2 linked regions of the Caenorhabditis elegans genome follow. The protein of the gene in region 2 purifies or fractionates together with the protein of the main gene of each other region. This does not show direct contact. Each region holds a gene or a part of one and is shown on either strand. Other genes may lie near its edges.

Evidence for each region.
Region 1: the proteins of hrg-11.4 (region 2) and rbg-1 fractionate together in Caenorhabditis elegans (co-fractionation; one large-scale study listed by BioGRID). This does not show direct contact.

Annotation. Positions count from the first base shown.
Region 1 is NC_003284.9:14,980,774-14,987,721, forward strand, and holds rbg-1 (Rab3 GTPase-activating protein catalytic subunit), read left to right. Parts: upstream 1-2,759; 5' UTR 2,760-2,787; coding exon 2,788-2,922; intron 2,923-2,980; coding exon 2,981-3,070; intron 3,071-3,146; coding exon 3,147-3,299; intron 3,300-3,347; coding exon 3,348-3,466; intron 3,467-3,512; coding exon 3,513-3,603; intron 3,604-3,670; coding exon 3,671-3,811; intron 3,812-3,860; coding exon 3,861-3,943; intron 3,944-3,998; coding exon 3,999-4,147; intron 4,148-4,194; coding exon 4,195-4,397; intron 4,398-4,454; coding exon 4,455-4,813; intron 4,814-4,860; coding exon 4,861-4,991; intron 4,992-5,038; coding exon 5,039-5,490; intron 5,491-5,702; coding exon 5,703-5,978; intron 5,979-6,035; coding exon 6,036-6,247; intron 6,248-6,305; coding exon 6,306-6,459; 3' UTR 6,460-6,592; downstream 6,593-6,948. Other genes in the region: plp-2 (DUF3467 domain-containing protein), read right to left, coding at 1,367-1,850, 1,937-2,031; iglr-1 (Ig-like domain-containing protein), read right to left, coding at 6,689-6,721, 6,778-6,948. UniProt on the Caenorhabditis elegans protein: Probable catalytic subunit of a GTPase activating protein that has specificity for Rab3 subfamily. Rab3 proteins are involved in regulated exocytosis of neurotransmitters and hormones. Specifically converts active Rab3-GTP to the inactive form Rab3-GDP.
Region 2 is NC_003284.9:421,620-429,560, reverse strand, and holds the start of hrg-11.4 (VWFA domain-containing protein), read left to right. Parts: upstream 1-3,925; 5' UTR 3,926-3,935; coding exon 3,936-4,032; intron 4,033-4,371; coding exon 4,372-4,561; intron 4,562-5,492; coding exon 5,493-5,735; intron 5,736-5,832; coding exon 5,833-6,084; intron 6,085-6,338; coding exon 6,339-6,418; intron 6,419-6,465; coding exon 6,466-6,611; intron 6,612-6,869; exon of another isoform or gene 6,870-6,914; coding exon of another isoform or gene 6,915-7,649; intron 7,650-7,702; coding exon of another isoform or gene 7,703-7,837; exon of another isoform or gene 7,838-7,854; intron 7,855-7,941. Other genes in the region: Homeobox protein dve-1, read left to right, coding at 56-218, 269-568, 874-1,021, 1,562-1,740, 1,791-1,874; col-19 (Cuticle collagen 19), read right to left, coding at 6,915-7,649, 7,703-7,837.

The DNA of each region.
Region 1 (6,948 bases), about 15 Mb from region 2:
TTCTAGTCGTCTTTACAACCGTCGAACTAGTTTATGATTGTTTTTTCAACCTGTGATTAATTATTTAACTCTAATTATCTTTTCCTTAATTCAAACTTCCACAAGAATTCAGTTATGAATAACATTTTCCAATATTTTATTCAATTTCTTATGTAAAGAAATGAAATCATTTAGCAATCCTTATGTCTTCATCTGCTTCTTGACCCACATCAGACCTTCGTAGAGACCTTGTCCAGAGTGAGTGTTTGTACCACAGATGAACCACTGAAAAGCCAATTGTATTATCATAATGTCACAAGATTTTGGCATTCCTTTTAGGTATATATATCCTATAGATTATGAGGTCTACAAAACAATACAACTATTTACCTCTCTATTCTTGAGTGAACCCAAATCAAGCAGCTGAGTCAGCTCGGCTGGTGATCTTGCATTCGGCATATCCTGCTTGTTTGCAAAGACAAGCAGATGAGAATCCGCAAGCTCTGGCTCGGCGAGCAAACTGAACAATTTTTCCTTTGCCTCGGGAATCCGCTCAATATCCGAACTGTCCACCACAAACACTAATATCTGAAATTAAACAATTTTTGTTGTATAATTCCTCTTGATAATTACTGTGGTATTTGGAAAGTAGTGTTTTAGTATCTGACCTCCAACATCCCAAACAATGAGAGTGAGTTTTTGGAAGGTAACAGTCTCCACGTTGAATCCTTCAAACAAATACTCAAGTATGAAAACACTTAAAAAGTGAACAAACCAATGGTTGGAATTGTATTGACTGTCTTATTAAGCTTCAGCTTATAGAGAATAGTCGTTTTTCCGGCTCCATCTCAACCGAGCATCAATGTACGACATTCGATATTTGGAAACATGAAGGAAGAAATTTTAGAGAAGAATAAGCCCATTTTGAACGAAAAATACTTTTTGAAAATGCAGAATACGATATTCTTGAAGCTATGTCGACAATCAGAGTTATTTTATCATGGAGTTATCATGGGGCTCCACGTTCCAGCTAGTGAGTTGGCCGTTTTTTGCGTGTTTTAATTTCTGTTGGAAGAAAGTTATTACGAAATATTTGTTCACTTAGTCAGACCCGCCCTTTTCTGGTTTCGCAACAGGTGTTTGATAAGGAAACGTAACTTTCCCTGGCAAGAATAACTATAATATTAATAATTAAGACACGAATTTCCCGAGAATTTATTAGAGATCAATAAACTTGATGCTTAAATAAATAAATAAACGAAACAGGTAGAGTGAAAATACAGGAACACAGCAGTTTAGAAAAATAGGTAAAATCTTTACAAGCAAATGCAGTAAAGATTTGGAGGAATTTTTTGGGAGACTATCGAGTTCGAAAGATGTTATGCAATTACGATTGTTTTTTTGCAGAGAAAACATGTAGATCACTACTTTCCTTGGTTGGCGATGATGTTATCCAACTCTTTGCGGAAATCGACGAGTGCGGACATTGGAACGGTGATTGCGTTACGATAGCCGCTGTTGAGTTTGATCTGAATATAAAATTAGAATAAACTTCTATTTGACACAAAATTATTTCCTCCGAGATGCGAACAAACTCTCCACGATCGTTCTTTCCGGAATGGAAAAGGAACGTTCTGTTTTCAGCAGTGATTTTTGGAGTGTTGGTGTTCTCCTGTTCGTGTCCCTCTCCGAACTTGGCCAAATATTCGGTTAGCACCTTATGAATTTCGGCGATTCCATCGGATGGAATGGCGATTTGTTGGCGAGTTTGACGTGGGTTCATCGGAGCAATGCGCAAAAAGCGACCACGATCATTTTCCTTCAGATCGACGTAGAATTTTCTCTGATTTGATGAGAGAGCTTTCCTTTGGCTGAAATTTAATATTGCATTAAAAATGTGAATTTATTTTCGGCAATCAAAACTTAAGTGTCACGTGGCAACAGACCATAAGCTTACCTGCAATACGGGCTTCTGGACTCCCCTTGCGGCTTTCGCGCTCCATTGATAATCGCTTGCCGTACACCGCGTGGAAAAGCGCGTGTACTCCACATGGGTAAATATTTTCATTTTATTTACAATAAACTTGTTTAAAAGCTGCAGATTTTGCTCGAAATTTTACGCGACTTCAAATTGGGTAATTGAACCAACGATATACTCGGATCAACAGACATATTTTTTTTTTTTGGGAAAGTTTTTTTTTGAGTAGAATGGACTGCAAAAAGGGTGCATTTAAGTTCAAATTACTTAGTTTTTAATTTACCGTGATTTTATTTCATAAAACAAAGTTAGATTTTCCAAACATGTTCGCTTTCAAAAATTAGTTTTTTTTAAAATTCATGTTCACATTTTAATTTAGGTCATCAGTATTTTTGACTTTTGTCAAAAATAAAAACAGTCGGTACTCTGATTACAACCCTTGATGGAATGTTTTCTAGAAAAAAATGTATCGGATTTTTGCAAAACAAGCACGAAAACAAATAACAAAGTACTCGAAACTTTGGTCAAAACACTTTTTTTTCCTAGATGTGTCCAAATTTTCAACAGTTCAGCAGCAAACACAGCTTGGTAATTTTTGAAGTTTTTCATACATAGACTTTTTCTTAATAAACGATTTCTGTTTTTTTTTCCTTATGAAAGCAACCGAAAAATCGATATAAACCACCTCACACCTCTCAGGCCCATCCGTCCTTCCCCCTTCTTTTGTTTACGTGCTGACGTCACAATGCAATTGCGCTCTATTGAACGTCTATCGTCTCACGAGACCATTCTCATTTTGCAGTGCCAAACCTTCATTTCCTGTCGTTCCAATGGCGGAAATCGAGGAAAACACAGTTTTCGAGATAAATGACTTCACAATTGTCACCGATATGGAGCACTTCGGTGCAGCATTTGAAGGAATTCTTCAGAAATACGAGTTTTCCAGTCGCCGACCGTGTTTATCGGTGAGTTTTTTGAGTTTTTGTTTTTTTCAAACATTAATCAGTAAAAATTTATGTTCAGAATGATGTGAAGTACCGGTTGATTGTGACGGACACAAATATGATTTCGATTGGAGAGAACAAGCTAAGAATCGAGTTATTGCAGCCAGTTGTGAGTTTTTTGCAAAATGAACAAGAAACTATATAAACTAAATATAAAAATTATAAAATGCAAAAAAGTTTTTCAGCCAGCTTCATCGAATCCTTCAAATGACGTGGAGTTTGTGGAAGCTCCAAAAGATGAGATTGAAGAAGACGCCCACGTTATTCCATTCACTGTTGCCGAGGAAGTTGCCAACCTCAAGCATGGATTCGAAGTCACCGATAGCTTTTTGCTAAAGGTTAGTGTTTTGAAAATCGAAATGAACAATTAAACTTTAAAATTTCAGTTTGGCATTCGCGAATGCATTATCATCTCTCCAAATGACAGCTCTGGTACATTCACCGACGAGAATCAAGTGAACACCGTTATGGGAAATATCAAAACAATATTGCACTCAAGTAGATGGTATGTGAAACTGTGATTTGTTATTAATTTGGTTTTTAAATTCCAGTGAGGTCCCAGTGTTCTGCTACATCAAGGACCAAAGCTTGGACATGATTTCTGGGTACGCGTCGGATGGAAATTCTACGTATAACTTTTCGGTGAGTTTTTATTTATGAATATAGCTTTTTTTATTTAAAAATGCCTATCACAACAAAATATTTGCAGTCCGTTGTTCTCCGAAACATTAACCGAAGACACTGCAGTATGACCGATCTGCTTTACTTGTTCAAAGAGCATCTTGGAGCTAGCATCTCGGCGTTTCATGAGGAAGTTCGCATGAGCTCTAGATTCACACATGTTGTTCCGGTAGGAAGCGTTGGCTCATTTTCTTAAAATTGTAATGTATAATTTTCAGTTGAAACAAAGTAAGTATTTCCGGAATCATACTGTCGAAACTTTTGGTCTTCTCGCGACTGGACCAACATCAAGTTTGCCGTTGTAAGAACTCGAACTCAAACTTTCAAACTGAAAAAAAAAACAATTAAAATTTCAGCGATATACTTGAAATTGCTGCCACGTGGCGTTTCTTCCGTGAAAACTCATTGACTGAGAACCATAGTCATTCAGATTTTGATATCAACTATTCTTCGTATTGGAATATCAAAATGAAGTCGACTAAAAGTTCATTGCTGGGAGTACTTGGTGAGCTACACTTATCTGATTAATTGTGAACTAACAATATTTTTTAGATGAAATTCTTGGCGTCTACCGAGAAGACACCAGAAAAGCAATCCGTAGCGACCTTAATTGTGCACTGATTCTTGGGAAACACTACACACAAAAAGAGCTTCCAAATGCATTCCAAAAGCTCACTATCAACTCAGCGTCTGAGGTGAAAATTGGGAAGCATGCAGAGACGGAGGATAGTGGAACCAATGGACCAATGCCGCCGGTTAGTTAAACGACAAAATTTTCTAGTGGTAAACGTAATTATCCTATTCATTTTCAGGCTCTGATGAAATCTTGGGTCAACTTCATCTTCAACGAAGCGGAGTCCGACAACGAGTCCTTGGCTCACGAGCTCAATATGTTGAATGCTGCTAGTATGTCGGAGAACCAATTGTCAGATGACGAGCTGGTGAACAACGTCAAGTTGGATACTCTTTTCAATTATAAGAATCCCAAATCAGCGAACACCTTCCTTGCTCCGTACAAGTGTGCAAAGAAGTCAACTGTTACATGGAGATTGGCAATTGCCTTGGCAAATGCGAGAGTTTTTATGAGTGATCAACCACGTGCCGAGCCGCAGTTATGGGTTGAGTTTCTGCTGAAACTTCGCGAGAAGTACGAGAAAATGGAAACTGTCGAGTAAGCAAGGTTCAGTTGTAAAAATGGTAATTAGCAATGTTTTTCAGAAAAGTCTACAACGGAATTGATCACTTGCAATGCTCATTTTCACAGAAAATGCAAATGCTCCAGTTATGCATTGATGCTCGCCAGAAGCGCCACAGAATGCTTGACTCTGCTCATAGTGCCAATAATTCTGGTAAGTTTCAGACACCACTAGTGCAAAAGTTAGAAATCTAGTTTCAGATGAATTCTTTGACGCGAATGAAAGTTTCAATGCTGAAACAATTCTTGAACCGAACAACGAAGGACGCCTCAAACTATTTGGACTGAACCTTGTCGAGATTCCAGACGTGCCCATGTATATTCCAGTCACACAAGATGCTTGCCCACTCACTGATGAGATGATAGATGCTCGAAATGAGCACCTGTTCAGTCTTGACGAGGAAGATCGCGTGCACCTGCAAATGGAACTTGTGAAAAGTGATATGCAAAGCTTCAAGGCTGCAAATGCTGGAGCTGTTTTTGCTGACTTTCTGAGATGGCATTCGCCAAAAGATTATGATGAGAAAACAAATACAATCTCAGAGAGAATGTTGATTTCTAATAATGTGTGGGTGAGAAGCTGGGAAGCTGCACTACCGATTCCGGTGGCCAATCAAGCAAGGATTTTCAATGACACAAAAATTGCAGAAGAGGTTTGTGTAAAACTTTGGAATTCTTGAGAACTGAACTTGAAATTTAAGTTTTTGTCTGACGCATTTTTTTGCAATCGTTCGTTTATACGGTGTAGGTGTCTATTTTACAGTACTTATGCGGCCGGAAGGTATATTTCTTATCAGAGTAAATATTTTGTCTTCTACCTTCGGGTAGATAATTTCGGTTCAATGGACATCGTTTATTTTTTCAGATACTCGAAATATTCAACAACGCAACTCTCGATCAAGTTCGCGAATGGATGAAGCCAACCGTGTTTGCAGCCACGTTAGAACGCCTCACAGAAATCGAGAGCAGCTATGGCGTGTCTGAGGAGAAACAAAAGCAGCGGACCAAGACAGCCAAAATTCTAGCAAACGCGACGCTCAACAACACTCCAATGGATTACAATGAAATTTCCAAGTACTGTAGCCAGATCGAAATGATTCATAACATGAAGGTCCACTTGATGCAACTTTTCGAAAATGCTGTGAGTTTGGAATTTTTTGGGTTTTCATTTGATTTCTTTTATAAGTTAAATCTTCAGAGAGAAAAAATGCACCCGCCATATCCATCGGAAACTGATGTTCAAAGCGCAATCAAACAATTGGTGAACATTGCTGTACATAACCTTTGGGATAATTCTACTGATGAGGAGCCGACGTTTGTCATCAAGCCACAGGATCCGATTGGAAGAGCTATAGCTGTAATTGGAAAACTTGATGAGCTCACGGAGCAGCAACTGATTAATGGGCACAGGTAATGAGCACTATAATCCTTGATCCTGAATCATAGATAATTCGCTGCTTTTTTCCAGAAAAGAGTACATCTTCAACTGGAAGCACAGCTGCCCGTCAACCACAACAATCCCCATGACACACCGAATGTATGCTGACTTGCGATCCGACAAGCACAGCCTATACTTTTCCATGGCCAACGACTGCAATTTCTCCAACTCGTCATATTTGTAAATTGAATTTAAAGCATCTACTGGTCTCTGACATTCTCACACTTTGATTCTTCAGCCCCCGAGCTAAACAATTTTGATATTCCCGTTGAATTATAGGGGAAATGTACATGTTTTGTAAATAAAGTGAATGTAATAATGGCATGGATTTTATTCGTAATTTACAAATTGAAAATACATCAAAAGAAAATACCCGTTTCAAAGTGAGAATTATTTTGTGATACTATACACAATCAAAGAAGAGGGTGTTCTGAGGCTGATGTAACCTAAAAAAATAATATATGTTTTAGATAGTTTGCATTGTAAAATTTCGTAAACTTACACTCAGCTGAAAATTCTCGTAAGTTGTTGCATCCGCAGATGATGACTGAGTGAGCATCGACTGTCCCGATACGGACTGCTGCATTTTTGCATTTTTCTTGATGCGAGAAAAATATGCGACTTTTTGATGAATACATGTGTCACAACAGAATACGACAACGATGATCAGTAT
Region 2 (7,941 bases):
CGCCTGCTTTCATATTACTTTCAGTACACATAATAATGTATGTATTTAATTTCAGCCCAACACAAGTACAAAGATTCAACACTCTTTACGAAATTCCACGTCTTGATAAATGGTTCAAATCCGATGCAAATCCATCTAAACAAAAAATGAACAATTACTTAAGCCAGCTCAATCAGAGTCCGTTCAGAAAGAACAATTCCAAGATCAGCTATCAACAGGTGAATTTAATGCGCCTACATATTACTCCATTAATCAAATGAATTTCCAGATTTGCAATTGGTTCACACAAAAACGCTCGAGTTCCCGTACCTTAGCTCCAGTAGACCTAGTGCAGGTCTCGTCAGCTCAGACAGCGGCGCAGCTGCTCCCGGGATTCCAACTCAACTTGCTCCAGTCCCTGTTTGGAGAACAACGTCAAAAATTTGATTTTTACGACAAACTGGATGAAACCAAGATTGTCGGCGGCTCCGACTCGCCATCTCCAGCCGATGATGAGATTCATAGCAATTCAGATGAAACTATTCAAGATACTTTGTTTTCCATCAATATTAAACCAGAACCGGAAATTGTAAGTTACGTTTGACTGTTTGTGCCATAGTTAGGTTGATTAGCGTTGCTCGTGCTGAAAAGCTTTGAAAAATCACGCTAAAAACGGATTTTCGGCTATTTCGATTCTGATTCACATTAAAGATAACATCTCCCAAATTGCTAAATATTACCGATAAGGTTATAAAGACCTAACACTACGGCCGAAAATCTGAATTTATTCCAAACTGTCAGCGTCGGCTGAGCGCCAATTAAAAATATTTTTCGACACAATTATGGTCCACCTTTAAAAATTATTCATCCCAAAACAAGCAACATTTCCTACAGGATTCAATTGCATCCTCCCCGGATATGGCAAACTCAATGCGCGAATCATTGTCCTCGACCTCCCCAAAGCTTCTCAGCGGGCTCGACCTCGGAGCATTCAGCACCCACTCATCATCCACCAACTCCATGCAAAACGCCAACTCATCAGGTACAACAAAGAGCTTTAAAACAGACAGGCTAACGGAAAAGAGAGGGAGATGGGTTGAACCAAGAACTCATAAATTAGAAGCGAGCACACACACACAAACACACATAGACATACACAAAGTGCGCGAAGACACATAACAAAGGGAGAAATGTGGGGCGTCGAATTTCGCACAGACAACCATTACGATCACTGAGATCTGAGGAAAAAAAAATGAGGCTAGGTATTGTGTTTACAGAAATAAAACAGAAAATCAACTGCAAACTTGATTTTGAGAAATATTCTAGGGATTTTGTACTGGCTCAAACTTATCGAGAAGGTGGCCATGTTCATGATACTCAGTCTGAAAACCTATATTGGTTGCTATCTCTAAAACGCTCTTAGATTGCGTTTGCTATGCATATGAAAAATGACTGCATAAAAATTCTCTATCTTTTCGACAAGAAAACTTTAAGGTGGAATTTTACTTCTATTTTTCGATAAAATCACTGACGCGGAACGTTTGAAAAAATTCAACGATAAAGCAAATAATCTCCGTTTTAGTGTTTTCAGCGGCTCGCTCACGCCTGATGTTCGACCCACTCACCGAGCTACCCGTCCTCGAAAAATGGTTCGAAGAGAATCCTCACCCGACATGGATGCAAATCGATCAGTACACACAATGCTTGAACAACTGCGCTTATCGAGAGAATTATCCGCATATTAGTCAGCACAATGTGAAGGTAATATTCTATATTAATACTGATTACTAGTTATCGAATTCGAATTGCAGATCTGGTTCAAAAATCGACGTGCAAAATGCAAGCGATTGTTGAATGGAATGCAGGAAAAGCTTGAGCAGAAGGTTTTCGTATAAAATTAAAATTTCCAACTTTTTTCAAAATCTTATTATCTTTAATTTCGAAAGAACATTAAGTTTTTCACATCAATAGTTCCTTCTTTAACCGTCATACTGGTGTACCCCTTGAATTCCTGATCTTCAGTGCCCCACAATTTCTCTTCAACGAAGAGCAAAATCACTACTTCATTTTTCATTCCAGCTGTGATTTTTGTCTGTAAGCTACACCTAATCGCTAGCTGTATATCTCGACGCATCTTTCGTTCTGCAAAACTTCTAGTCGCTTCTTGTCTTGTTTAACCTTGATGGGAAATTAAGCCGGCTTTAATTTCCTTCTTTCTTTCAATCAACAATTTCCCATCGCTTTCTTTGTCTCTTTCAATGTTCCACAGATCACATAGTTTTAATGGTTTTTCAATGTTTCCCTTCTTACCGTCACACTACTTTCCAATATTATTCATCTTAATTTTATGTCTACCACTTCCAATATCAATCTTGCCCACCGTTTTCTCAATTTTTTTTGTCAAATTTAAACTTTTCTCTGCTTTTCAGTTGTGCTTCAGCCCTTTATATGCCAAAAACTTTTATTCAGAATTTTGACATACAACCACGTTTATTTCTTTTTATTTGAATGTTTTGAGAAATAAAGTTTTTTTTTTCAGAAAAAAAATTTTACAAAAAATGGTCAATTTTTTATTTAAAAAATTGGCACACAAAAATAAAAACAGACATGATTGTAGGAGAAAATTTTCAGACTTTTCAAGAAATTATAACTTTTAAAAAGCTATTTTTGGAGAAAAAAGCTCCCTATTTTAACAATAAAGTTTTGAGCCATTTCACGCGTGCACCAAAAAAAATGTCTGAGAAAAATGTCAGGGGTACGAGTTGAGTTTTCCTTTTCAAATTTTTTGTAAAAAAATATTCAGAACACTATCTAGAGCGACAAAAAACTTGGTTGGTGAAAACTCGTTCTAAAATCTGGCACTGAAGTTACTTCCTTCCGCTAACAACTTGTCAGGTGCAATCTAAGTTTCGACTAAAAAAAACAATTATTATTTCAAAGCTGGATAATTTATTCGAATTTTCGAAATATTGCAGAACTGAAAAGAAAAGAAGTTTTCCATAAACTTGGATTGTCAGTCAAATCTTGCAAGGACGTACACGTTGTAGGTTTGCCTTGGAAGAGGTCGTCCACTTCAACATGCAGTCCAGTTATACTCACTAGGAAAGTAATTTAACTCACTTTCAGACTTTCAAATTGAATTTATAAGAACTTAAAGCGGGTTTTCATCAAAAAATAACAATGGAATATAAAGAAGTCGATTTGATATTCTCCGAGCACGTTTTCACTGCTTTTGTAACGTTTGCAACTATTACAAATGAGGAAGTTTGCAATTTTGTAATGCTTTTAATAAAGTCTAAAAATAGGCAAAACAATTTAATAAATTTTTTTTTTTAAATATTTCAGAATTTTTGTTCAGCCTAAAACGTCTTAACAATTGCCTCAAAATCTTTTTAAAGCAGTTTTATTTATACTTTTGCGGAAACTTTGCAATAATCCTATAAATAGCATAAATAAACATTTTTTAAAGTGAAAACAAAGTTTCATTGGTGGTTTAAAAAATTTATAAAGCTTTATAGAACGTTGCCAGTGTAATACAACTGTTAAAACATAACTCACTTGAATAAATCACATGAAAAATTGTTTGATTAATAAAAAAACTTGTAAGTAACAAAAAACCTGCAAGTTCTCGACTGTAAAAACAACAGCTGGAAGCAAAGTGGAACGCTTAACCATTTTTATTTCTGTTTCCCACTGTCTTTTCCAGAAGTTCCTGAAATGTAAACATTTTAAACTGAATTTTCACAACACATCAACCTCTGCTCTATTCGAATTCTAGATGAGAACAACTTGCCAATGGAAGAGTATAATCGCATTATCAGTGACAACTAATTTAAGAGCCTCAATTGGATAAACTAACTTTTTCAAACAAAAAAAACCTGATAACAATTTTATTTAGTTTTATTTAATTATTACATTAAGAAATATCTTCTAAATAAAGACGATTTTTCAGTAAAATGCTCAAATTTGTAATTACAAGTATTCTACTACTGCGGGTCTGTAGTGGAGTAAGTATTCCCAATAAAAGTCAACACGGCGAACTAACGAAAAGCTGTAAGTTTAAGTAAAAAACACGTAAAATTGAAAATATTGGCAAAAGTTTGACATATTGAAAAAACACAGCAGGCTTACTTAAAAATGTTTACATCATAAGTTCTGGTCCGAGTCACAACTACACGAAAGGTATTGAGCTCACTTTTGTGCTTCTAGCGGGAATTTTTATTTGATGAATTAAATAACCAACTAAGAACAATTTTTTCAAGAGTGAATTTGGTGGAAACGCCAGTGGATTCTCTTTCTGGCTAGGCCAAGCCAACACATTTAATAGAACCTCTTCAAATCTTTACAGAAAACGTTTTTTGACCAGTTTTAGCCAGAGGGATTAAATTTCAGTGAATTCGAAACTCAAACAACTTGTTGCACTAAATCTATCGGAACCTTCTCAACGGGTTCAACCTACCTTCTCTTCAAGACCGAAACTGTTGGATCAAACCTCTCCAGTGACATGCTACAATAAGTCAATTGATATACTGCCTCATGACGGTACTGCAAAATTTGGTGATTTAGTGGAGAGTGATTTCAGGTATACATTTTTAGTAGGGAATATTGTAGAAAATCGTGGAGTGCTCGGAGATTGCTAACCAGCAGTTCTAAAAATTGAGCCTGTGGGACATTTTCACTCAGTGTTTTCATTAAAATTTAGGAATAGAATCTGGAAAATGTTAATTCTAGTTAAAGGTGGAGTGGCGCCAGTGGGGAAATTTCTTTAAAACACGCCTATGGTACCAAAATGACCGAATATCATGATAAAAAAATGCAAAAATTTTTTCTAATTTTAAAATTTGAAAATTGAAAAAATCTCAGTTTTTGCCTAATTCCGATTTGAGTTTACGCCAATTGGATTTGTTCGATGGAGCGCACTTGCACGTTTTAATTTTAATTTATTGTTATTTTGTCATATTTTTCACCAATTTTCCATGTTTTCAATGTAGTTTTGTCTGAAATTTGACGAAAAAGTCAAAATAAATGCTAATTTTTGATTAAAAAGCTAATTCACAAGCGTGAGTCTGTGAAATCTGTAAATTCAAGTTCGAAATCGTTTAAATGCATGCATTTTCTTTCAAAATAACAATAAATTAAAATTAAAACGTGCAAGTGCGCTCCATCGAACAACTTCAATAGGCGGAAATTCAAATCGGAATTAGGCAAAAACTGAGATTTTTTTCAATTTTCAAAAAATCATATAAAATTTAGAAATTTTTTTTGAATTTTTTAATCATGATATTCGGTTATTTTGGTACCATAGGCGTGTTTTAAAGTACTCGAAAAAAAATACTCGAAAATTGTCAAAAACGTGAAACTTGTTGTTGATAGTAAAATTGCCATTTTTCATTTTTCCGGTTTCTATTTGCGATTTAATAATAATCTAAAACTCTATCTGGATTTTCATTACGTTATTCGAGAACCAATACCAGATTAATAACATGTTTCATAATACATACACATATCTTCAGTGCGACTTGCTCCGACACTTTCACTTTTTACGTCGACAATTTTATCGAAGAGTTCTTTGTAATTATCAATACACTCGACGCCCTCAATCCGCGGGCAACAGTTTATAATCCGATTGGAGGCGAAGTGTCCACATGCAAAGATATCACCACGGACGTCACTCAAACAATTCACCTTATCTGCAACGGAAAGAATGTTCACGGAACTGGAGCGTATACGGTTCAGCTCTCTGCAGATTTGAACAAGTGAGCACACAATTAAAACAAGATGACCCAAATTGTGAAAAAAAAATCAAAAAAAGACTCTTGAAATCTTATCTCATTTAAAAATAAAATCATTCAGACCGTGTATATTTGAAGTCCGAGCTCCAACAAAGCTGACAGTTGATGGTGGGTTTGTAGAGGATGTTCGTGACGATGACGTTCAGAAAGTAATATTTTCCACTGCAAATCAAGGAATATTCCGTTTCCCACTTGAAAATCAGGCAGCATTTTTAGCATTTAAAGTCGAGAGTGAAGAATTTCCAATTCATCCCGATGAGGTGCATCTTTATGTAAACGGCCTATTCGATCAGAAAATGGATTTGAACTTGAGGTGAATGTTTGAGAGTGATAAAAATTTGGAATTGAGTAATTTTTTTCTACATTATTCAATAGAATCAATTTTTCTACATTATTCAATTTTGGATGATCCAAAAAAATTGAAGGAAAGTAAACTTTTTTCTGTTGAAAAAAATACATGTTTATATTGCAGAAGCATTTTTTAATTCAAAAATAAAGCCTGAACATTTAGATTTAACAAAGATGAATCATGAACATAATTGCTTTGGCAGAAAAACCATTTTTCAGATACGGCTGCAGTACCCCTCATATCACTCAACAATCTTATAACTGTACGTCTCAAAACTTGTATCATGCCAAGTTCAGAGGTATTTCTCCTTTCTATTTTCTCCCTTCTCTCATTGTCGGTTTCTAGGATACGATAGTGATGGAAACAGGTTCCAGAGAATCTACGACTTTAGCTGTGACCTAAGTGAAATTACATTCACAACACCTTCCGTGCACGTTTCGACGACGCCAGCAAGGTTTTGTGAAAATGGAGGAATTCTGTATAATGAAACGGTACGTAGGTGGCTTTATTTTCAGGTGGACTGGGGCTGCCCGGCAAAAAAATTTTTTTAACTGGACTATATTTCGAAGGACAATCTTGGTATAATTTTCTATTTTGGTAAATAATTCTAGTAGTTGGTTTTTAGAGTTGGTTTTTAAAAAGTGTTCCAAATTAAAAAAAAAAAGAAATTTGCCAGATTTGAAAAGCTGAAGTATTTTGATTTGCATGTGAAATTGCAATTTAAAAAAAAGTGCAGAAACAGAACACAATTTGGAATGTTCGAAAATTTATAAAAAAGACAGAGAAAGGCAGAATTAAGCCTTGTAAGCTGCACGAGATGGGCATGGACAATATCCAGCATCTGGTCCTGGTGCGGCATCCTCTCCCTTTTGTCCTGGAACTCCATTCTTTCCTGGATGCCCTGGTGGTCCTGGTCTTCCGGCGTTTCCGTTCTTTCCAGCCTCTCCATCGTTTCCTGGTGCTCCTGGATTTCCGGCTGGTCCGGTTTCTCCGCGTGGTCCTTGTGGTCCTGGACGTCCTGGCTGTCCTGGCTTGTACTCGGTTCCTGGTTCTCCACGTGGTCCTGCTGGTCCTGGACGTCCGGCGGCTCCTGGTCTTCCTGCATCTCCCTGTGGTCCTTGCTCTCCTGGTCCTCCAACTGGTCCTGGTGGTCCGCGTCTTCCGTTTCCTCCGGCTGGTCCAGCAGATCCTGGAAGTCCTGATGGTCCTTTTGGTCCTGGACGTCCTGGTGGGCACTTGATGCATCCTCCTGGAATATCGTGGGTGATGGCAACAATAACTCCAGGAGCTCCTGGCTTTCCATCGTCTCCATCGTGTCCTGGATTTCCCTTCTGTCCACCCTCTCCTGGTGGTCCTGGTGGTCCAGCTGGGCAACCCTCGGATTTTGGTCCGCAGTTACATTGCTCGAATCCAGCTTGACGAGCGGTACGGGCTCCGAAGAGAGTCTCAAAGGTTGGTGGAGCATTTGTGTGTCCGGTTGGGTTGATGTGCTTGCTCACCATACGAGCCCAGGTGTCTTGGGTGATAGCCTGAACACAAAGTGAATTGATAACAACACTAACTTCCTTTATGTAAAACTTACTCTAAATTCAACCATACCATCCTGGAACTCAACTTGAAGCTCCTCGATCTCATTGAGAAGGTTTCCGATGGTGTAAAGCGAGGCAAGAACGCACACAAGTACTCCGCAGGATCCAACCACAATGAGCTTGCCCATGTTGATGAACTGATGTCTTTCTAAATGGTGACCGTTTCCTTTTATACTGAAAGTTGCTGAGAAAGCGAAAGTTACACCTTCAAACCTAACCAGTGTAATCTAAC